Linked DNA regions of Astyanax mexicanus. The protein of the gene in region 3 binds, or shares a complex with, the protein of the main gene of each other region. Links are inferred from orthologs where the notes say so. Each region holds a gene or a part of one and is shown on either strand. Other genes may lie near its edges.

Region 1 (7,546 bases), about 3.3 Mb from region 3:
TTGCTGATTGATTGCAGTAAATAGATGAAACTCACTTTTTCAGGTCATCTCTCATCAGGTCCCACCGTCCCAGTCCAGTGGGATAAATAGGCCACACTGCAGGACCTCCCTCCCAAAACGTCCACGCAGGGTACATGATATCCCGGTAGTCTGGTGTCTAAAAACATACAGGAAGACCAGAGAGTGTCAAAAACAATAAAGCCTCACACCAAATCCTAGAGCTGGTGTTCAAAATGTGCTTCTTTGGTTCTGTGCTGGAAATACTATGTTAATGGGGCTAAAACAGGAATTAAAAAGGCATACCAACGAGCACTATCAGTACTGTGTAAACCACAGGCCTAAATCATCATACTTTTGAATCAAATCAGAGGCAGGGTACCAGATCTTAAATGCAATTAGGATGAATATGCAAAACATTATAAAACAGTATTTTTTCCTCATGCATTACAATGTATAACAAGGTGATCTAAAGAAAATAAAAGTTTTAAGACACAATACCATTCAGGTTTGCATTTGTGTGTGTTATTTGTTGGCTGTGTGTGTGTGAAAATTGACGCACCTTGCTAAAGGACAGAACAGGCAGCAGCTGCTGAGACCATGCAGGCACCTGAGGGTAGTCCCGAACATTAATGACCATCTCCATATCAGGCAATCTGTCAATCACTTCCAGGATAAAATGCTCCACTCCACTGCACCTGTACACACACAGGACGAAGCCACTTTACTGTACTGTAAGGTGTATGTTAAACACAGGCAATATAAAGCCACACATACAGTACAGCACCGACCTTGCCGGGAACATGCAGTCCTGTTCTCGGTAGAGCTTGTGCCCGATAACCTGGTAGTGTGTTCCCACACCTCGCTGCACCGTGTTCAGCATTAGCTCCTTTGATATGCCATTTCTGAAAAGCTGCAGGTCGTCTTTCAGGACACTGGAACCAAGCAAGGAGAAAGAATTGACAAAGACAGACTTATTTAGTATCTCAGAAGACTGATAAAAGCTTAAGCCTTACATCTCTGAAGAAGAGCTCATGCTTCCCTTAAAAATACAAACTTGCCTTACATTTAAACAGCTGAGATTAGTACCTGGTGTGGCAGCTGCAGTTCTCTTGGCTGCATGGCTGAAACTTCTTGGCTGCTTCAGAGATCTTGTTCAGATATTTCTGCCATCTTGTGTCTACGGGTGGGCGATATGGCCCTAAAATAATATCACAATATTTCATGGTATTTTCACGATAACGATACTCTTGGCGATATGACAAAACACTTAAAAAAAAAACTATTTCAAAAATACACTATACACTGCAAGAAAAAAAATATTATTACATACAATATAATACTCCACACCCCTAAGTGAGAGATTAAAAAATACAAGAATTTAATCAGATTTGTAACACAAGTCAATGATCCAGAACGATACGATATGGCACACCCCTATCATGAACTAAATGTTTCAAACTAAATGTTCTAAAATAAAAGGTTTACAATTTAATAATATTTTACAATTAATCTATTGCAATAAAGACTGTGGTTGGAGGCTTACAATCAAACTCTGGTGTGAAATGGACTTTGGGGTGTAGTGAAACATTATAATGAGTACTAACTTTTGTTGAACAGCCCTCCTCTGTTCCCTCCCAGCATTCCATTTATGGAACTGAGGGAACAGATTGTTACATTGAGGGAATGAAAACATAGCAACATCAATGTTCGTTAGTGGATGGGACGCTGCCCACAGAATGCTGCCCACGGGACCCTGCCCTGCCCACAGGACCTACATATTTCTGCATGGTGACATGTTCTCAGTCCAGGAGTGAAACTGATGTGGTATTTAAAAACTTCAGCAGCAGCACTGTTGTGTCTCCAGCACAACCCTAGAGATGTATAGTAATAAAGTAGAACTACTTTACTACTTACCTTAGGTACTAAAATACTGTATCTGTACTTTACCACAGCATTATATTTTTCTCCTACTTCCACTTTAATTTCACTATTTTTTTTCCCATGAGTTTAATACTGTTATTGTCACAGGGTGTAATGAAGCTGCTCATCACTGAGTGTGAATCAAGCGATCAAGCTGATCGTATAAGACCATGCTGCTCTAGTTCTGCATTTCACTCTGAGAACTTTCCACTGCTTTCGTTAATAACTACAAATCACAATACTGTATGTTTACTTTCTGTACTTGAGTAGTATATTTTACTACTCAATAAACTACTTGCAATACTTAAGTACAAAATATTTGGAATACTTTAGTACTTCTACTTGTAGTGTGGAGCTTAAAGAACACTTTAACTCCTAAAGCACTAGAGTACTTTGACTCAAGCTAATTTTTGATAGAGCACTTTTACTTAATTCACCTATTTAGTAGATCTCTTGTATTACCTTGTAATACCTATTTAGTATTAAAGTACTAGAGTAGTTTCTTAAGTCACTTATTTGATAGAGCACTTGTACTTTTACTCAAGTCACTTATATGATGGAGCACTTTTACCCAATTCACTTATTTATTAGAGCACTTAAATATTTTATCGCCACTTTTTTTTGACAGAGCACTAGAGTACTTTTTCAAGTCACTTATTTGATAGAGCACTTTTACTCAAGTCACTTATTTAATAGAGCACTGTCAGTCATCACAGCTCTAGAGTGCTTTTTACTTTTTTTGATAGAGCACTTTTACTCGAGTCACTTTTTGATAGAGCACTTGTACTTTTACTTATAAAATGGATTATTGACCATTGAAGAACAGGGTGAAATGAGATAATGAAGCTAGTATACAGAGAAAAGATAAGTAAACAGTATGTGGCTACAGAACTACAAGGTGCCTCTTAATGTTCAATGGAGCTGAAACATTGGATAATAGTGTAGAAACAATACTTAGCTTCACAGGGGACCTTTACCTATCCCAGATTCGCATTTAAACAAGCTGTTAACTGACGGTATTTTAATTTCTGGCAAATTAAAGACTTTCAGACTAAAGTAACAGGAGTCTCAGGAGTCTGAGGCTAATGCTAACTGAAGTAACGGCAGGCAGCATGTAGGTATGTGAGTTAGGTAGCCTGGTTACAGAGAGTGAACGGGGTTTCCCGGCTGATTTATTCACTCAGGCCGGTTTTCCACCGCTGCTAAATGATTATAAAGCCTGTAATAAAGCGTTATAAAGCTCTTACCCTTCTGAGCAGCACTAAACTCCGCTCCACTCAGGAGAAAAACACAACACAGCGTTAAAATCCACCTCAGCTCCATCTTCTGTGCATCGTTTAGTCCTGCCTGGCCGGTAAACGTGCTCGCGTCTTCAACACTCAACTACTTCTGTCTGCCTGTGTTCCCATTTCAGCGTGCGAGGGCTCGGGCTGCGTCCCAAAGCGCACAAAGGCCCCACATGATATACTGGGAGTGTTTTAAAGGGCCAGACCAACAGATTCACCTCAGTTTGCCTCAATAGTAAAAAATATAAATAATAATGAAATAAAAACAGTAATTATATGGTTTTGATAAGCCATTACTGATAAGAGTAGATATTACAATTAGGAAATAACAATGTAAAATGGGCATAAAACCAATAAATCACACCAATATTATACCATTATTAGTGCTAATTACCTCATTTACCTCACTTCAATACTTTTAAATTTTTCAGTGAGAGAAATCTTGAGCAAGTGCAGTAAATTCCAGGTCAGTTTCTGAGGTAAATATGTGAAGGCCTGAGCCGTAAAATGCCCAGGTCTGGCTTTAGGTATATCTCACTTATTACAATGAGGCATGGTGAAACTACAAATTATAACTTTTAACAATAAATATAAATTATAATATATTCATATATACAGCTCTGGAAAAATGAGACCACTTAAAATGATGAGTTTCTTTGATTTTACCTAATTGAAAAAAACTCTGGAATATAATCAAGAGAAAGATGGATGATCACAAGCCATCAAACCAAGCTGAACTGCTTGAATTTTGCAACAGGAGTGGCATAAAGTTATCCAAAACCAGTGTGGAAGACTGGTGGAGGAGAACATGCCAATATGCATAAAAACTGTGATTATTCCACTAAATATTGATTTCTGATGAATATGAACTTGTTTTCTTTGCATTATCTAAGGTCTGAAAGCTCTGCATCTTTTTTTGTTATTTCAGCCATTTCTTATTTTCTGCAAATAAATGCTCTAAATTACAATGTTTATATTTGGAATTTGGGAGAAAGTTTGTCAGTAGTTTATAGAATAAAACAACAATGTTCATTTTAACCAAACATATACATATAAATAGCAAAATCAGAGAAACTGATTCAGAAACTGAAGTGGTCTCTTTAAGTTTTAATAGAGCTGTATAAGCATAGATAAAAATATCTCACACAAAAACACAGAGTGGAAGAATATAAACATCTACAAATGAACACATATCACTGTATACAATAAATAAAAAGATATAGAAGAGCAGTGCAATGAAAAACTTATTTTATAAAGCACTTGTATTTTACTCAGTTCTGGGTCTCATGAGCATGCTGGTCAGTGTTTCACATCTCTGATAATATAACACCTCATAAGTTACACATCTGTGGTTGTTTCCCAAGCCATCTTCTGCGGCCCATCATATGTATTGAAGTTTTGATCACACTATTGATCACAACTTATTAATGAAAAAGTTAGAGAGATATGGTATTAGGGGAATAGCATACTCATGGCTCAAAAGTTATCTTAATAATAGATACCAATATGTTCAAATAAATAATACCAAGTCAGATATGCTGAAGGTTAAATGTGGGGTGCCACAAGGCTCAGTTTTAGGACCAAAATTGTTTAATTTGTACATAAACGATATTTGTAAGGCATCTAAATTGTTAAACGTTGTCTTATTTGCTGATGATACCAATTTATATTGCTCTGGAGAAAACTTGGATATGCTTTTAAATACAGTAGAAAGAGAATTAAACATTTTAAAGAAGTGGTTTGATGTTAATAAGCTATCATTAAATTTAAGGAAAACAAAGTTTATGATCTTTGGCAATAGAAAAATAAAGAAGGAAGTAAAAATTATGATCAATGATATTAACATTGAAAGAGTGTATGAAAATAAATGTCTGGGTGTGATAATTGATCATAAATTATGTTGGAAACAGCACATAAACCACATAAAAACAAAACTGGCCAAAACCATTGCAATATTATATAAAACTAAACATATTTTGAATCAGAAGTCACTACTGTACTGTTCTTTTATGTTGCCTTATATGACCTATTGTGTGGAAATATGGGGAAACTCATATAAAACCAATACAAATCCAATTACCATACTACAGAAGAAAGCTATAAGACTTATTAACCAAGCAAAATACAACGAACCAACCAACAAATTATTTATTAAATTACATGCTTTAAAATTCTGTGATTTAGTTGACCTTAATATTGCACAGATAATGTACAAAGCACAAAATAAATTACTTCCAAATTGTATTCAGGGGAAGTTTAAAACTAAAGAGAACAACTATGAACTAAAGGGAATAGATATATTTAAAAGGAATAGAGCAAGGACAAATATAAAAAACAGATGTGTATTGGTCAGTGGAGTAAAGCTGTGGAATAACTATAACAAAGAATTAAGAATGTGTAGTTCCCTTTATAAATTTAAAATAATGTTTAAACACAGGGCTATAAACAAATATACAACTGCTAAATGAGCAGTCTATATATTGTAAACTTTCAAATGATTAATGATTTTTTTTTTTTTATCTTAATTTTCTCTTTTGTGTTTGGTGTTTTCTTTTTTTTTGTTTATTTGTTTTTTGTTTTATATTGTTTTGTGTCAATTCAATTTGTAATAAACACATATAGACATATGTGTGTATGTATGTATGTATGTACTGTATATACATATATGTATGTATATATAGATGTATATATGGATATATATATGTATTAGTTAGGTAAAAAAGGGTAGGCTAAATAAGCTAATAGCTTCAGCCTGTACCTTTTCGGTTGTTTAAAGAGATTGTTTAAATGCAAGATAGAGGATGTGATTTTTTTCTTTCTTTTTCTCTTTTCTTTAAGTTCTGTTCTTTATGTGTGTATATGTTTTGGCAAAAAACGAAATAAATAAAAAAAAATAAAAATAAATAAAAAGTTTGTAGCTAAGTTTGAAAGACCACTTGACACAATCTTCTTTTTCATTCTTCGTTTTCTGCGTGTCAAAGTGATTCCCAGTGGTGCTCCTACCCGTCCTCATTTTCATCAGCACATCATCTATATTTAGCCATGGAACAAGGGAGCATCTAAAATGGCCTTCAGACACAGGGGAATGGACTCACTTGTATTAGGCAGTAAGGCAAGTCTGTGGAAGTCGAATGTGTCCCAACATCCCTTATCATGCTCTGGAAGTGGGAGAGAAAGAGAATGAGAGAGAGATAGAAGTCTCTGGCTGACGAAACACAAGGACTTGTAGCTAAATCCCAGCTTTTCTAAGATTTCTTTCTTTTGTTCTATCTTTTCAAGGGGGTGGCCTGTCTCAGGGGAGCCATACTAGGCCTCTGGGATTCTGCACACAGGAAATCCTGTCTTCTTCGCCTTGTCTTCTTTCCCTGGACCTGCCGTTCTCCAGACTCGCCATGTTGCCTCTCTGGCTTCTCCTGTTCCCTAGCTTGAATCTTCTGTCTGGAAACTTAGCAGAGGAAGGCCTGGCGATCCCTAGCTTTGATGGCAAGGACCGTGTGCTGGACATCAATGAGAGGAACTACAAGAAGGCACTCAAGAAATATGACATGCTGTGCCTGCTGTACCACGAGCGCCTGTCATCTGACAGGGAGCTCCAGCAGCAGTTCCGAATGAGGGAGATGGTGCTGGAGGTAAGATGGAAGAGAGTTCTTGACATTTGGTATCAACAAACCTTGAATTGAGCGTGAAACAAGTATTTTTGGTGATTTAGAGTCTTGCATATTTATGGCAGTGTAGAGAGTTTTCTGTGGAAGTAGAATTCCTTGGTTTTGCTTATCTGGACAAGGACCTAGAGCTTACAGTTTCTGGACACTTGCTAATAGCCAAGGAAGTCTCAGAAATGTTGCCCTATGACAATGCTTACCACCCCCCATAGGACAAAATGCAGATGCTTTTTGTAGTCTGCTAGAAGTCTTTCTGTCTTTATATTGGGAATTTACATCTACGTCTTCTTGCAGAACACTTTTAATTATGTGCTATTCCTAAAAAGGTCATAGTCTTGTGAGGTTTTTCTACGTTCTGTGGCTTCTAGGACATAATGCAGATGCTTTTTGTAGTCAGCTAGAAGTCTTTCTGTCTTTATTTTGGGAATTTACACCTACGTCTTCTTGCAGAACACGTCTACTTATGTGCTATTCCTAAAACGTTCATGGTCTTGTGAGGTCTTCCACGTTCTGTGGCTTCTGTGACTTCTAGGACATAATGCAGATGCTTTGTAGCCAGCTAGAAGTCTTTCTGTCTTTATTTTGGGAATTTACACCTACTTCCTCTTGCAGAACACGTCTACTTATGTGCTATTCTTAAAAAAAAGTTCATAGTCTTTTGAGGTCTTCCACGTTCTG
Region 2 (7,459 bases), on a different chromosome or scaffold from region 3:
TAAAAGAAAGCTAGTATATAGGATTTGGGCTGAAATCACTGTATCACACTAAAATGCACCAGAATGCAGAATTCTAAATGAAGTCTAATGCCTATCAATTAAAAAAACAAACACATAACAACTAATAGAAGAGATGAGATGATAAACCAGCCAGCTGACCCACAATTTGGATAGAAGGCCTATGAATGACGGATATGAAGAAAGCAAGAAAAACCATTAAAGGATCAAAAAGTAAACCTTTCTCAGGCTAGACATCACCATCAAATGTTAGTGTAGTAAAGTTTAAAATTCTGCCCATTTATCATTTGCTTTATTTTCACTGAAACTTTAGTTTTAGGCCACTGTGTTACAGGGAAAAACAGGAATGCAAACTTATTGGATAAGAACACACTAGATGAGGGGGTATTGCCCCTTGTGGTGCCTGGCATGCAGACCCGTTGCAGCAGGACAAGCAAACCAATCAATTGCCTACACCCCCGAGCTGCCCCTAGGGCCTCCAGACAACAACTGGTAATGAACTGAATGCATAAAAACAAACTGTGTGAGCACCCCTTTAAATACTGTGATGGTCAAAGCAGGAAAGTACAATGACACCTCCCCTCAAGGGGGCTCCTCCCACTAGTTACTGATAGTAGCCAGCCTGCCAGGTTCATGATTCCTGCAGCTGGCAAAATATGAAACTTTGGCAATCATAATGCATTATCCATACATTTTGCTAGGGGCCCCCAAAATGTCCGGAAACTAAAATAATAAACCAAAAAAAACTCAGCTACTATAAAGCTCCTATTTTGCTTAAAAAACACAAAATATATTATTCGAGTTTAATAGTTGTTTCACTAATAAAAAATACATTTTAAATTGTTTGCTTTTAGATATATTTTCATATCACACTGTTGACCAGTAGTTATACTATTGTGTAGGACAATGGAATGCACTAAATATTTGTTAAACGTATACCAAATCCTTTCATCTACTGGAAAGCTAGGAGCTTTAAAATAGTGAAATAGTTCAAAAATATAATAGAGTTTAAAACGCAGATTGAAAAATAAAAAAATCAGTACTACACTTCTTATTTATGCCACGTCTGCCTTATTCTCTATATAGTTGTCAGTCTTGACGTTGTCAGTCTGCCGGCCATGAACTCTGATACACACACTAAAGACTCCAACTCCCAGCACGCACCCACATCAGACCCTCTAACTCACCAAGCTTCTGATTACGCACACCTGGTCCTGTTAGTATATATACCCCACGTTTTCAGTAGCTCCTCGCCTGGTATTAAATCTAGTTTCTATATCTTCTACATTGTGTTTCTTTAGTTTATTGCTCTTTTGCTAATAACCCTTTTTTGTATTTTTTTTTTACTTTTTACTCTTCTTGCTCTAGTACTTTCTGTTTATTGTAGCCTACCCCTTTTGCCTGCTCTCTCCCTGGTATGTTGTTTACTATTGCTTCCATTTTGTTAATGACCCTGCCTGTCGCTGACTATCCCTTTATTAATAAACTGTGTGTTTCTGCGTGTGTCTGGCCAGCGTGAAAATAGTGCACTACTTTGGGTTTTTTTACTCTTTTTTTAGCACTGTCTGAAAACATTATATCTAATATAAGATATAAGCTGTGTCTGAAATGCAAGAAATGTTGATTTGAGGCCTTGCTGCCCACACTGTCTCACTTAGAAGGCAGTGTAGTGATGATAAATCTGACTGTCTCTGTACATGAATTAAAAGGGGACCGTACATGCTGACATTACTACAGTATGGACAGTTCACTGCAAGATAATGATGTCATTTAGCTGCGTTGTCATTATTTTATATCATTTTCAGTCACTAAAATGTGAGACTTAGATTACTGAATTTGATTTACTCATGACTGGGTTCCTTCATGTCTCAGAATTCTGCCTGAGTAAGCAGCATTTTTTACATTTTAAAAATAACCACAGTGTACAATGTACCGAAGCAGAACTTCTCTGAATTATTTCATCACCTCTCTCAGGAGAAGCACTGCGGTTGATATGATGCAAAATGTTGTCACACAGCAACCCAGCCAGCATTCTCATGTGGGGCTCAGATAAGTGAAACACAATCTAGGTGGGTTTTAGGTGAGCATGGTCTCTAAGTGAGTTGGAATACATACAGCATACAGTATTTTGTTGATGGAATCTAGCTGAGTTTCCAAAATGAGCCCCATCATTACAGCCCACCTTAATCTACGCCCCATATGGGGCCCATTTTGAACCCCTATTGGTCCAATCACTGACCCTGATGGGGCCCATTACTGACATCCATATGTGGGCATGTTATCTGGGAATGAGTTCACGCACATAATGACATGCCTGAAATTGTTCACAAACTTGTGGAATTCTGTTCCCTATAATAGTCCTTTATGTAGTGATCTGGTTTTTGCATCTAGGGGACAGTGAATAGGACACAGTTTTGGACAAATAGTATAGTAGTTTATAGTTTATACCCAGATAAACAGCAATAGGCACATTTTACTCTTTCCTAAACACTCCCTAAAACATTAGTAATCAGTTTTAAATAAATTGTTCAACCATGTAGATTATGCAAATCATTAATAAATTATTTCTAAATGTATTATTAATAATTAATCATCAGCAGTGCATGCTGACTCTTTCATAGCAGCTTGGATGATACAATCTTTAGTTCATCTCATTGGCGAACAAAGCTGAGCTCCGGGACTGTAGTTTCAGGGAAATGTAAATCACATCATATTTTACTGTTCATCTTTTACTGTTGAATCACACTTACATCACACTGGGTATCCAGGGGAGGAAGTCACACCCTTCTCATCTTTTAGACTGCACTGTAAAGTAAATAAAGGTGGTTTGAGGTGCTTGTTCTGACAGACACATTTAACCCATCCCTGCAGTGAACACATTTACATGCACACTGCAGAAAATACACATTGTGATATTGTAAGCACATGAACCCAGAGTGTCTGACAACCATTACTGAGGCATCTGAGGAGCATTAAGGGCCTCGCTCAAGGGTCCAACAGTGGCAGCCCGACAAAACCAGGTGTCAAACCCACAACCTCTACCCACAACCTGCTCTTATCTGGGTTATCACTGTCCCACACTGTTTACACCATTTTTGTAACTATCTATATTAGTTTTATTGGCCCTAAAGTGTAACCCTGTGGAATTCCACAAGATATGCTACACAACCAACAGACACCAACAGTTTCTGCATTAGAGTTTATGGCTAAATTAGGTGGTAAACACTGTATTTCACTGCTCTGCACTCGTTGTTTTCCCTTGTCTAAATTCTTCTGAGATGTCTCAGTAGGAAAAGCGTATTGTATTAACCAGAAACAATAAACAACTCACAGACTGCATAGGTGGGCAAGTTCCTCACAACAGGTGAAAAACAATTGGCAAAAGATATGACATGTATATGTGTGTGTTACACATCTAGATTTCTATACATAAGCATGTGTGTGGTACATGTGTTCCTGTATAAAGGCTTGTAGGTGGTACGTGATCTAAAAAGTTTGAGAACCACTGCTTTCGGACAAAACAGAATCTAAGCACTAGTTTTCTAGCTACATTTTTACAGTCATTAACTAATCAAATATTTTGTAAACGTCAGCTGCCTGTGTGCAGAAATCCAGCACTAGATATATGGAAAATGTTTCAGATCAACTGTTTTAGCCATTTGTAAAAAAAAAATGCATTTTTAAGAGATCCTTTGTTAAAAATGAGTCTAATATCATTCATAGTTTTCATCATATCAACAGCTGGGTTGGTTAAATAGTGCTCAATGATATTAAATCAGGTGAGCTGGAGATGGAACTGGACACATACATCCACACAGTGGATAGAAGCATCCAGGAGAAATCTGAAACTACTTTCTATGAACGACTTTCTTTAAAAAATTATTAATGTTACTTTTTAATGCATTTATTCTTCTCTACAACTGTTTACATAATACGTGGTGTTAATTCAGGTAAAACACTCTAGTTGCTGAATTTTGAGTTATGTTTTTGTTTCATTTTGTAACATTTTGTTAGGACCCTAAGAACATTACTCAAAGCCCTGGTTTTGATTAATGTTCTAAGGGTCCTATCAAATGTGGTGCCTCAGTTAATTATGATAATGATTTTTCTCATGATTATTATTAATGGATATCTTAATTATTCTTCACATTTATAAACACAGTGGTTGTGAACATTAGAATACCTCAGAAATCCCGTAAGTTTCCCTGCAGTCAGTCAGGGCGGATCACCATATATGGTCATTAGTGTGGTTCAGTCAGTGTGAGAGAGAGTGAATAAGAGGAGGGGACCCGCTGGAGCTGTGAGGAGTGCTAATCTGCGCTGGCTCCGTGTCTGAGGGATTTTTACCGCACTTAGCCCAATTCTCCCGGGCTGTATAAATCACACGGGACCAGTCTACAGGAGCTCAGTTTCACCTGGACGCAGCGGGGTCACCTCAGCCTCGGGAGCAGCTGAACATTTTACAGGCTTGGAGTTAAGTTGAGTTTTCCTCTGGGAGAATTCACAATAAAGAGCACGATGCACACTAAACCCTTCAGCCTGCTGTGTGTGTGGCTGCTGGTCTTGGGAAAGGAGTTTGTTTCAGGTGAGGCTGCTTAGCTCCGGTTTTATTTTATCTTTTATTTAATCTATTTTATATCCTTTCCGTGATTTCCAGTTCTGTTGCCTACAGTCTTAATTAAATCTTTCCTTTTCCTGTTTACTTTTTTTGGGCAGGCACTTTTCCTAAAGCCCAGAATGTCTCCTGGTATTCTTTGAACTTTAAGACCTTATTAACTTGGGGTCCCAAGCCTGTAAACTATTCATACACTGTAGAATTCTCCAAGTAAGTAAAACTTCTATTTATTTCAATTTATTTCTCATGTATTAGTTAATAACTTTTAGCACAATGCTTATTATTATTATTATTATTATTATTATTATTATTATTATTATTATTATTATGGTTGTTATTATTATTATTGGATTTTATATAATGATTTATGACATGATGACACAACAGCATAATAACACAATTATACCAATTTAAAAAGCAATAAACATTTAATTATATATACTTTTAAATATATATATATATATATATATATATATATATATATATATATATATATATATATATATATATTGAATACCTTATATATATATTGAAAACCTTGAATATCCACTGTTTTACTAGTTAACATACTGGCTAATTTATTAATAGATTCTCTCTACAAATAAAATATAATGAGCAGAATCAAAGTCAGCAAAAAATTGTTAAAAATTAGGTAATTCGTGTATATTTCATACAGTAAGTCGATAATGTAAGTATTGTGACTTACAGGGAAAGTTGTCTACAATTTTACCTGTTTTCTTAAACAACCTGTTATTTGTGAGCCCATATTCTCTTCTGCATTTGGTATTGAAACTTATATTCCACTGCTTACTACTTAATAATCCTAATGATTATTATTCAGTAACTACATGAAAACAATTCAAACTGTGTGAAGGAATAGGGAATTATGAATGAAGTCCTGAACCTGTTGACGGCCCGGTTTATTTAAAACATGAAATTTGTGAATGAATTTTTTCACAGTTACGGTCTGACATGACTTATGATTTTGACTAATTCATTAAAATAATCAGTTTATTTACCAAAACTCAAAGGCTGAGATTAGGCTTTGTGATTTATTCAATCTGACATTTGTGCTTTGTTGGAAAATTCCACACCCTTTGCTTGTTTCAGCTTGCTGTAATCACTGTAAGACTTTAGTTTAATGGATTACTGGATTTCAGTCCTAAATTCTTTTGTAACTTGGTTCCAGACAGAACGAAAACAGGGAGAGGAACCCTCTCTGTATTCAGACCAGCGATACCGAATGTGATCTAACTGCTGATCTCAAAGAGCTGAAGGGTCGCTACAATGCTGATGTGCTGTCAGAACCAGTGCGGGGGTTAAACCCCCCTGACCTCATTGAGCCCCCGCACACAACATCTGCCTGGTTCATTCCTTACCAAGACAGTAGGTTTCTGTAAAACCTTTTTTTATTTCATACACTCATATCTCTGTTTAATAATTAGTTTGAATTTTGATGTCACATATTTTGTAATTATTGTATTTTTTATAATGAATCCAATTACAATTTAACTCAGTTTAAATCAGTTTAATCAAAGCCACACATTATGTTATTTGTGAAATGTAAAGCATCATCCTGTCGCTGTCATGCCAGACCTTATCTTTACAAAGTGGCAGCTTCACAGGAAATTGACATTTTTATTGGGTCTTTTGGCATGCTTTTAAAATTGTTATACATTGTAAAGAATAACTACTAGATTCATATTATAACAGAAAGTCAAAAACGGCAAAAATATACAGAAATATGTTATAAAGATACAATCTTTTTGCCTCACAGCAACAATAAACACATCCACAGCAGAGCATTACGACTCATATTTACAAATTTCTAATTCTAATCCTGTTTGCACAAAATTTATTGTATATCTTTGCTCCTTCCTCTTTTTTAGCCATCATCGGCAGCCCTGAATTTAAGATAACAGTGAACGAGGATCAGCGGAAAATAACCCTCTACGTAAAAGACACCCCAACAGCTGTTTTAAATGAGCAGAAACAGAGAATGACCATTCGGGACATCTTTAAAGATGACCTGCAGTATAAGGTCATCTACAAGAAAGCCAAGAGCTCTGGAAAGGTATGTAATGATTGTAAATGTTTGTTGGCTTCAGTTCATAAAAATAGTTTATGTTTAATAATCGACTGTGTATCTATATGTATGGCGCCTCTGTTTAATCTCTAAGATGGCAAAAAGGGAACAATACAAATATCTAATTGTCATTTACAGTACTTTAATGTAATGAACTTCATATAGATCATTGTGGATTTATATATTGGTCCATTCATCATAAAATGTGTACAAAGGACACATAAAAGTGGTTATTAAAAAATATTTGGTGTTTTTGAAATGGCTGTGACATTATGTTATATTCCAGTTTCCATGTAAAGACAAAAAAGATCATCACTGTTCAAAGCTTCAGTGTTTAAATATTAAAGGATATTTTTCTTGATGCCTGATAAGCCATTTATTACATTGGTGTGTGACAAAGTTCAATCAATATTATTCCTGTTTTGGGAAAGTGATACCTACTAATTCTCACCATATATCACCCAAATATGATCTTAAATTATTAGTTATGATATAGTAGCATCAGGTCAGATCAGAGCACCTCATAAACCTGAGTTCATGTGATGAGACGGTATCACAGTGTACTGTATGAGGACACTCCGTCAACAGTCTAATTGTACTCGAAGCAGATAGGAAACACGAGTTGTGAGTGGATATTTCATTAAGCTCATTCTGTGGCTTTTTCTGAATGGAATTTTAATGTTTATTATTTTATACAGTTAGATTTATTCAGTTTATTTTTGTGATTGATAACATTTCAG
Region 3 (7,797 bases):
AAATAAGAGACCACTTCAGTTTCTGAATCAGTTTTTCTGATTTCGCTATTTATAGGTATATGTTTAAGTAAAATGAACATTGTTGTTTTATTCTATAAACTACAGACAACATTTCTCCCAAATTCCAAATAAAAAATATTCTCATTTAGAGCATTTATTTGCAGAAAATGAGAAATGGCTGAAATAACAAAAAGATGCAGAGCTTTCAGACCTCAAATAATGCAAAGAAAACAAGTTCATATTCATAAAATTTCAGAAAAAGTTCAGAAATCAATATTTGGTGGAATAACCCTGGTCTTACTTACTGGTCTTAACCCAGTCTTACTTACTGCTTTTGTATAACTTAACTTTAGCAGTTCAGCTTGGTTTGATGGCTTATGATCATCCATCTTCCTCTTGATTAAATATTTCAGAGGTTTTTAATTTGGTAAAATTTGGTAAAAAAAAACTCATTATTTTTAAGTGGTCTCTCCTTTTTCAGAGCTGTATATTACTTATAATAAATGATCACAATCTAGTAAAAAAATAAAACATGTTGCATGTAACTTGTACGTCATGTGCAGTAGTCTCACCTTGGGTCAGGCAGGCTTGACCATCTGTCCCAAGGAAGTACCCGTCTGTACAGGAACAGAAGCGCTCACCATTGTTCTCCTCACAGAAATGCTCACACCCTCCATTGTTGTGGAGACAGGAGTCAGGAATGTCTTTTATTACTGTTAAAAAAACATGGACAACATTGACAGATTTAACTTAAATCCTAGACTTTCATCTTTATGAAAATCAACACCATAATACAAATGTAACTTATTATTATGTGTTATATAACTCATCTTTTGACATTTTCTAAAAGCTAGAAGCTTACTAATATTAGGTAAATCAACAGCTTCAGCAATATCAATATTTATCGATGACCAGCAAAAAAGCAATACATTTAATGCAATGAAAGGTTAAGTTAGCAACTTTTTAAAAACTGTGTTAAAATAGGTTAAGTAAACTTAACCTGTGCTGTGCAAGGGTTTTGGGAATTATAGACAGATATAAAACATGATGTTAGCTTCAAAGAATGATTTGGCTCACCACTATTATCTAATTATTAATGTATTAATGGTATTCTGTTGTCTCAGACATAAAAAGGAAAATAAATCGTCCAAGTTAAGCATGGATCATTCATGAAACAAAAGGCTCGCAACTACCATTTTATTCACAATATTTTGAAGGAGGGCCAATTACCCCAGCCATTCTTTAGGACCCCCCTATCGTTACACTGAATTCCAGAGAGAGCAAATGCCCCACCCCCACCCAACACATAGACTTTTTTGTGAATTGGTTTGCTTAAGGTGAGAATGTGATCTGGACTCGATTTGACCCAGCTATCAACTATACTTCTTTTTATTTGAGCTTAACTGCTGATAAGGCGGAGTTTAATCTGATATATCAACCAGATAATATACTGGTATAAACAAACAATGTATTTGCTGATTCATGCTGTTTACATGTGTGGTCTGTGCTGCGTTCACTGCCCGCATTGCACCATTATATACTACATAATAATAGTTGATTGGTTTCATATTAATTCTTACAAAAAGAGCTTTCGCAGAATCTTCTTCATAAATAGGCTAATAATTAGTTTAATAATAGACAGTTAGGTACAGTAGTTTGTTTCCTTGGTGAAGGAGACAGAAGAAATCTGGATTAAGTGATGATCTTACCACGCTCACAGTTACGTCCACTGAAACCTGGTGCACACAAGCATGTATAGGACTCCTTTAACAGGTAACAAGTGCTGTTGTTTTCACATGGATTCGACTGACAGTGGTCTTTAACTGTTAAAAGAATAAAAAAGCTCAAGATCAGTAACAATAAGTGGTACATGGTAATTAAAGAAGTGTCAGTGACAGAACATCTTACCGTTGTAAATTTTCCAGAATTCATTCTGTTGTAAAAAAAAAAAAAAAAAAAGAAATTAACTATATCAACAGTTTGATTACAGCTATGTTGATTACCATGTATCAATAAAAGTCTATTTGTCAGTTTATGTCAGTATGTCAATATTTATTATAAAACTATACATAAATGCTAGGCTTTTAGAACATATATAGACATGTTGCTGAAGCTGGCGACCCAACAAGTTCCATAAATGTTCGAGTGTCAATAGTTCTGTTAACCAAGCCGGCCAAGAAAACGTTGCAATTTTGCAAAAACCCATTCTGTATGTGTGTTACCATAGTCCTGCTAAAAATGCCAATGTTGGAAAGTCCTGCCATAAGAAGCAAGACATGTGTCTTTAGGATGTTTTTCACATAACGTTTAGCTGTTAATATTCTTTGTATCAATACAAGGGGTGACTGACTGTCACATGCAGAGACTCCTCAGATCATCACACCAACAGTTAGGGCAATGTGTCACTTTAATAGTAAGAAGAGTGTGTGACCTATAGGGTGAATAATCAGTAGAATCACCTGTTTTTTCTCAGTCCAGTGATATGTTCCCTCTCAAAATCTTTCAACTTGGAAAAAATTGAGTGTGTCATAATGGACTCTTTAGCAGTCAGTGATCTCTCACCAAGAGGTACACTACCCAAAAGCTGCCTCTCATATCCTTTTAGCACTTTCATACAGTGTCTAAGACATAACTGTATGTCAAGTTTTGCATCAAGCTGGGGTGTTATTTTTTGTCAATGTCAGTGAATTTAAAGGTATAATTTTTTTGTATCAGATTCTGTGATATTTAACGATTCATTGTGCTGTTATTAGAGATGAGAAAAACTGCTCCACTATAATTCATGTGAAAATAAAAAATATATATATTTTGTAATGTCCATATCTCATGATACTGACCGTGGCTTCAGTGTGTTCAAACACCTCTCTGGCCTCTTCATAAGAGCACTTCTCCTCTAAGCATTCCCTTTCAAGGTTGCCAACCTTCAGTTCCTCAAACCAGCCAGAGTTTGCTCGCTTGGTCCTGGTGAGGACTCCATGGGCTTCATTCCGCCCTACAAACACTATGAAGTAACCAAGTATATTTACACAGGTGTGGGACCCCAGCACAAAGCATTCATCACAACAATTAATTCAATATATATATATATATATATACATGCCCACTAAGCAATCATTCATTTTCATATATTCATGCATGTATTTTACCTGAAGCAGTGTAGCAGCAGCATAATAGGCTGAGTATCAGAGACAGCAGAGATAGCAGCTGCATGGTGGATGATGGCTGGCGTCCTGATCTTTCTGCTCCTCACAGCTGAAGGGTCCAAAGTCTGGGAACTGTGCAATCAGGAAAGGCTAAAAACCTTCCCCAAAGATCCAATAATATAATTTTGAGGCTGGGAAAAAGAATCAATAATACTGCAGATAACTCTTTAAAAAAACTAAAACAAACCTTACTTATACAATTAAATCTTATATTTTATTATTGGTACAATTGTACAATTGTATAGTACATATAACAGATTTTGATGTAATACATGCTATTGATACAGAAACATACATATACTCTTTAAAAGTTTCTATATTTCTACATAGAATTGACCTAAAATGTAATCAGATTGTTAGACAAGCAAATCAACCAAATAAGACAAAATGATCAGAATCGATCATTCATTTATTAAGGAAAATAATCCAATATTACAAATCTGTGAGTGGCAAAAAGTGTGTGGTTATTAGAGTGAAATTAAAGTCAAGGTTTCAATCAATATCAAGATGACAATCAGATGTAAATGGGCATAGCCATGTTTTATTTGAAAAGCAGGTGTCAATCAAATGCACAATCTTCTCCACAACAGATGTTTGTGAAAATGTATCCTGTCACAAACACAGGAGATTTCTGAGGCTTGGAAAAGCAAAAAAAAAAACACAAATCCAAAAATCACACCCAGTGTCTGCAAGACCACAGGGACACTTTTATGTAACCGAAGGCCTTTCTCTTATTGGCTAATGTTAAAGATCACATGGACACGTTTTGTGGGCAAAATAGAGCCTGTTCTGCTGCATCTGTGTCAGCAAACCAGTCAGAAAATCAAGACTCAAGAGAAGGTGAGTTATGCAGCGTGACAAAAACCCAGTTGCACACCAGTTGTTCTACCAAAGAATGGTTAAAGAACAAAAATGAAAATAACAATGTTATACTGAGGAATGGACTATAATTTCTTTTAGCTCATGTTTAAGACTACCAGAAACGGTTGGTTGCAGTTATTACTGCACAAGGGTGCCACACAAGATACTGAAAGCAGTGCATTAAATATTTTTTTCACCCACAGATATGTGATATTGGATTGTGTTCCTTAATAAATAAATGTCCAAGTCTAACATTTTTGTCTCATTTTTTTATTTGGTTTTCCTCATCGACTTTAAAGGAGAACTCCAGTGTGAAACGGACTTTGAGTTTATTAAAACTTAATAAAAACAGAATAGTTGAATAGCTTTCTGAGATCCAGTGTCTTGTGCACTTTGCCCAAACAGGCTTTAGAATGAGTGAGAAGGGGCATGTCTTCCACTGTCATCCAGGCTCAAAGTAGCTCCACACTTCATTGGTGAAATCTGGAGAGACCTGACTTTTAAAACGAGGTATTTATAGCTTTATAACTTCGCAAGAAGTTTATTAAAAGCCATTGTTTACATCCCATATCGTAGATAAATCTCCAGGTGCCGCCATCTTAAATTTAATTTAACCATCGATCACAAATAGTAAAACATTTTGAGCAATGTTTATGTAATTTGTTGTTGGTTCTTTGCATTCTAATATTGACAGTAACCAGATATTTTCAGCAACAGCTGTAATTCATGCATTTCCAGGGAATTCATTTGCAGTTATGTAATCTGCTCAACTATCCTACCTATTTGGTCGTGCTTAACGGTTGACATTTCGTGACTTAAATTTAAGATGATGGTGCAGGGGGATTCACCTAAGCTATGGGATGTAAACAGTGGCTTTTAATAAACTTCTTGTGCAGTTTTAAAGTTTTAAATGCCTTGTTTTAAATGTCAGGGCTCTCTGGATTCTACCAGTGAAATGTGAAGCTACTTTGAGCCTCAATAACAGTGTTAAAGGAGATTTATCTGCAGGGGCCAAATATGCCCCGTCTCACTCATTCTAAAGCCTTTTTGGGCAAAGTGCAGAAAAAATACTGGATTTCAGAAAGCTGTGGGAGAGCAGAGGTTGGCTATTCAACACAGGTAAGTACTTCTTTATCATGTCTTAATACACCCATAGTCCATTTCACACCGGAGTTCTCCTTTAAGGAATTGTGTTAAAATACAGAAACTTCTCAAGGTTTTACAAACTCAAGTAACACTTTGTATATATAAGCATATATGCATTCTTTCATAGAATGCTAATTAAACATTTTTAATATTTATAATTTTGTAAGATATTTGAAGATGTTCCTTCATTCATTCATAGCCATAGTTTTCATAATCCAGTCAACAAAGATGGAAACACGAGTGTAGATCCCATACATGTCTGAGCGAGCGCAGCCTTTACCCCAGCTCACTATGCCCGTCAGGAACCAGGTTTTATTGTACAGGGTAACAAGTGGTCCTCCGCTGTCCCCTTTACACGCATCCCGACCTCCTTCCTTAAACCCAGCACACAGCATGTTGTTGGTTAATGTGAGACCTGAGTGGGCTTGGCACTGCTCTAGGGGAACCTTTGGCACTTCCAACCTCTGAAGCACAGTGGACGAAGGTCCGAACTGAGACAGCAGACCCCATCCACTCACAGTGGACATACGCACTGTTCCCAGGGTGCGAACAAATGTGCCATTGGATGGCGGGAGGCAGATGGGCACAATGTAGGGATTTAATGTTATGTTCCTGCGCAGGCGCAGCAGTGCTATGTCACTGTCAGTGGATGAGTGATTGTACAAAGGGTGGATGAAAACTTTAGACACTTGTCTAGTCTGCTCTGTGCCTTCCTTCTTGAAACGGATATGCTCGCCTGAAAGGGAGAAGGTAAACAAGAAAGAAATTAAAAGAGCAATAAACTGCTGTATATTTATGCATTTCAGGCCTACAACACCTGGCACGTACACACAGACATCCCAAATTGCAAAAATTATTTTCAGGTAGGTACCCCCAGACCTGGACTTTCACACACGCAATTGGGTCGCCTCCGTGAACTTTTGTTTTCACTCTTGGGCCACTCATTCTAGATTCTGGGAGATTTTCTATGACTTGTGGGCATCAGGGAGGCGTTATTGATATACTTCCAGGAGACTTGGGATGTCTGTATATTGGAGATTTCTAAAGAGTTGATAAAACTGGAAAATGTTATAAAAATCTCTAAAGCTTATGGATAGAATAGACTCCAAAAGTCCAAAGATTGGGCCAAAAGTCTGCAAGGTCACAAACAGACCTCAGAGTAACTTCCAAGCAACTTAAGGCCTTTCTCACATTGGCTGTATGTGTAAAGCAAAGAAAGCACTGCATATAAGAGCAAAGAGCAATACATTGTGGAACAGTATATTTCAGGCCTACAACACATTTAAAAAATAAGTTGGCAATTTAAGGTTAGTAACAAGGTAAACACATTAATTGATTATGATTTAAAACAGGTAATGTCAGTAGGAGAGTGGGGAAGCCCCCCCCTTTGTTGTGGAGGATTTGTAAAGTTTTTTTTTTTTAGATTTACCATCGGGGTGCAGCGAGCTGACGTTAAAACATATCTGGATATACTGTGATTTTTCTAAAAGTAAGGTAACGGAGCTAACCATGTAAACTGTTTTGAGATAATTTCTGATAGCTAATTAAAAATAAACAAATCAAAACCCACAGATCAAACCCACTATGAGCTTGTGATTCTAGGATTCTAGGATTACTGTAAATTACAATGAAGGAAAAATCTTTTAGCTAGCTTAACCAGTTAGCTAGAAGCTGGATGTAGTGGATAGCCAGATTTCAGTACACTACTTTATGTTGGTAGTTTAAAGCAGTTTCTTATCCCTGATCACTGCCCTAAAATTGTGTGTTTTCACCGGATCCAGCGCATCAACTGTTAAACAATCATTTATTGAGTTTACCTGTTAAAATCCCTTAGCCCCTTAGATTTACTAATGGAATATATCTGGTCCTTAGGTAAAAGCTCATGAAACTAATAGACTAGGAGGGTTTAGGTTATCTAATGTTTATTTTAACTTCTGCCAAAAATCTCTATGAAACATAAGGTTACATTCTTTTACCTAAAAGACCACATCATAAGAAGTACTTTTAGTCGAAAAAAGGTGGCGTAAATATAAATATACAAATATACAACAGAATTGACATGCCAATACAATGTTGTTCTAAGACAACATAAGGTGGGCTTTGATTCATATAAGCAGATGTGTCCCCCCCAATATCAAACCCGCTCCAACGCCCTTGAGGACTGAGGATCTCTAGTTTGGTTTGTAACAAACCTGTGAGAAAAATGCTCCTCAAATAAATATAGCAAGGTGTTTTGAACCCCTGGTCAGACAGCTTTGCCATCAGCATGAATAGCAAAAAAGGATCATGAATTATCCATTTTTATCATGATCATCATGTTGGAACATTGACCTCAGTTGAAAATGGTAAACATTACTGTATTTTTAATACTGCCATATATATTGCAGAAAAAAATACAATTGCCAGTCCTGTTTATTATCAAATAAAAGTTGACCAGACAACATATGAAATATCCTGTGCTTCTTCTGTCTGCAATCAAATAAAAGTAAATGTAAAGGGGAAAAAACGTGTTTTTAAGATTCTGCAAACTGATCAATTTATATAAATCGAATTTGAATTAAAGTGGGTGGTTTTGATGGGTGAAGCA

Evidence for each region.
Region 1: the proteins of f7 (region 3) and poglut1 are in contact, whole or in part, in a crystal structure (PDB 5L0S), measured with the Homo sapiens proteins. The link is inferred for Astyanax mexicanus from reciprocal best matches to the Homo sapiens genes F7 and POGLUT1. Residues at the interface, in NP_000122.1 of Homo sapiens: Asp108, Gln109, Cys110, Ala111, Ser112, Ser113, Pro114, Cys115, Gln116, Asn117, Gly118, Gly119, Cys121, Gln126, Ser127, Tyr128, Arg139, Asn140; in NP_689518.1 of Homo sapiens: Met103, Phe104, Pro105, Ser106, Arg107, Arg132, Asp133, Pro171, Ala172, Trp174, Pro178, Thr179, Thr214, Asn239, Gln240, Ala241, Val274.
Region 2: the proteins of f7 (region 3) and f3a are in contact, whole or in part, in a crystal structure (PDB 6R2W), measured with the Homo sapiens proteins. The link is inferred for Astyanax mexicanus from reciprocal best matches to the Homo sapiens genes F7 and F3. Residues at the interface, in NP_000122.1 of Homo sapiens: Leu73, Lys78, Phe91, Arg96, Leu99, Phe100, Ser103, Ser120, Lys122, Gln124, Leu125, Ile129, Cys130, Phe131, Cys132, Leu133, Pro134, Phe136, Glu137, Gly138, Arg139, Lys145, Gln148, Ile150, Val152, Asn153, Glu154; in NP_001984.1 of Homo sapiens: Thr49, Asn50, Lys52, Ile54, Glu56, Trp77, Lys78, Ser79, Lys80, Phe82, Tyr83, Glu88, Asp90, Asp93, Gly141, Gln142, Thr144, Glu162, Arg163, Thr164, Leu165, Arg167, Phe172, Tyr188, Trp190, Lys191, Ser192, Ser194, Ser195, Gly196.

What each region holds. Positions count from the first base shown.
Region 1 is NC_064428.1:22,564,909-22,572,454, forward strand, and holds the start of poglut1 (protein O-glucosyltransferase 1), read right to left. Parts: upstream 3,321-7,546; 5' UTR 3,244-3,320; coding exon 3,168-3,243; intron 1,199-3,167; coding exon 1,087-1,198; intron 933-1,086; coding exon 789-932; intron 696-788; coding exon 560-695; intron 158-559; coding exon 36-157; intron 1-35. Other genes in the region: calsequestrin-2, read left to right, coding at 6,599-6,835. UniProt on the Homo sapiens protein: Dual specificity glycosyltransferase that catalyzes the transfer of glucose and xylose from UDP-glucose and UDP-xylose, respectively, to a serine residue found in the consensus sequence of C-X-S-X-P-C.
Region 2 is NC_064413.1:36,715,051-36,722,509, reverse strand, and holds the start of f3a (coagulation factor IIIa), read left to right. Parts: upstream 1-4,306; 5' UTR 4,307-4,536; coding exon 4,537-4,603; intron 4,604-4,734; coding exon 4,735-4,843; intron 4,844-5,822; coding exon 5,823-6,019; intron 6,020-6,522; coding exon 6,523-6,707; intron 6,708-7,459. UniProt on the Homo sapiens protein: Initiates blood coagulation by forming a complex with circulating factor VII or VIIa. The [TF:VIIa] complex activates factors IX or X by specific limited proteolysis.
Region 3 is NC_064428.1:19,304,879-19,312,675, forward strand, and holds the start of f7 (coagulation factor VII), read right to left. Parts: upstream 3,256-7,797; 5' UTR 3,211-3,255; coding exon 3,147-3,210; intron 3,002-3,146; coding exon 2,838-3,001; intron 1,934-2,837; coding exon 1,909-1,933; intron 1,824-1,908; coding exon 1,710-1,823; intron 714-1,709; coding exon 573-713; intron 1-572. Other genes in the region: f7l (coagulation factor VII), read right to left, coding at 5,396-5,946. UniProt on the Homo sapiens protein: Initiates the extrinsic pathway of blood coagulation. Serine protease that circulates in the blood in a zymogen form. Factor VII is converted to factor VIIa by factor Xa, factor XIIa, factor IXa, or thrombin by minor proteolysis.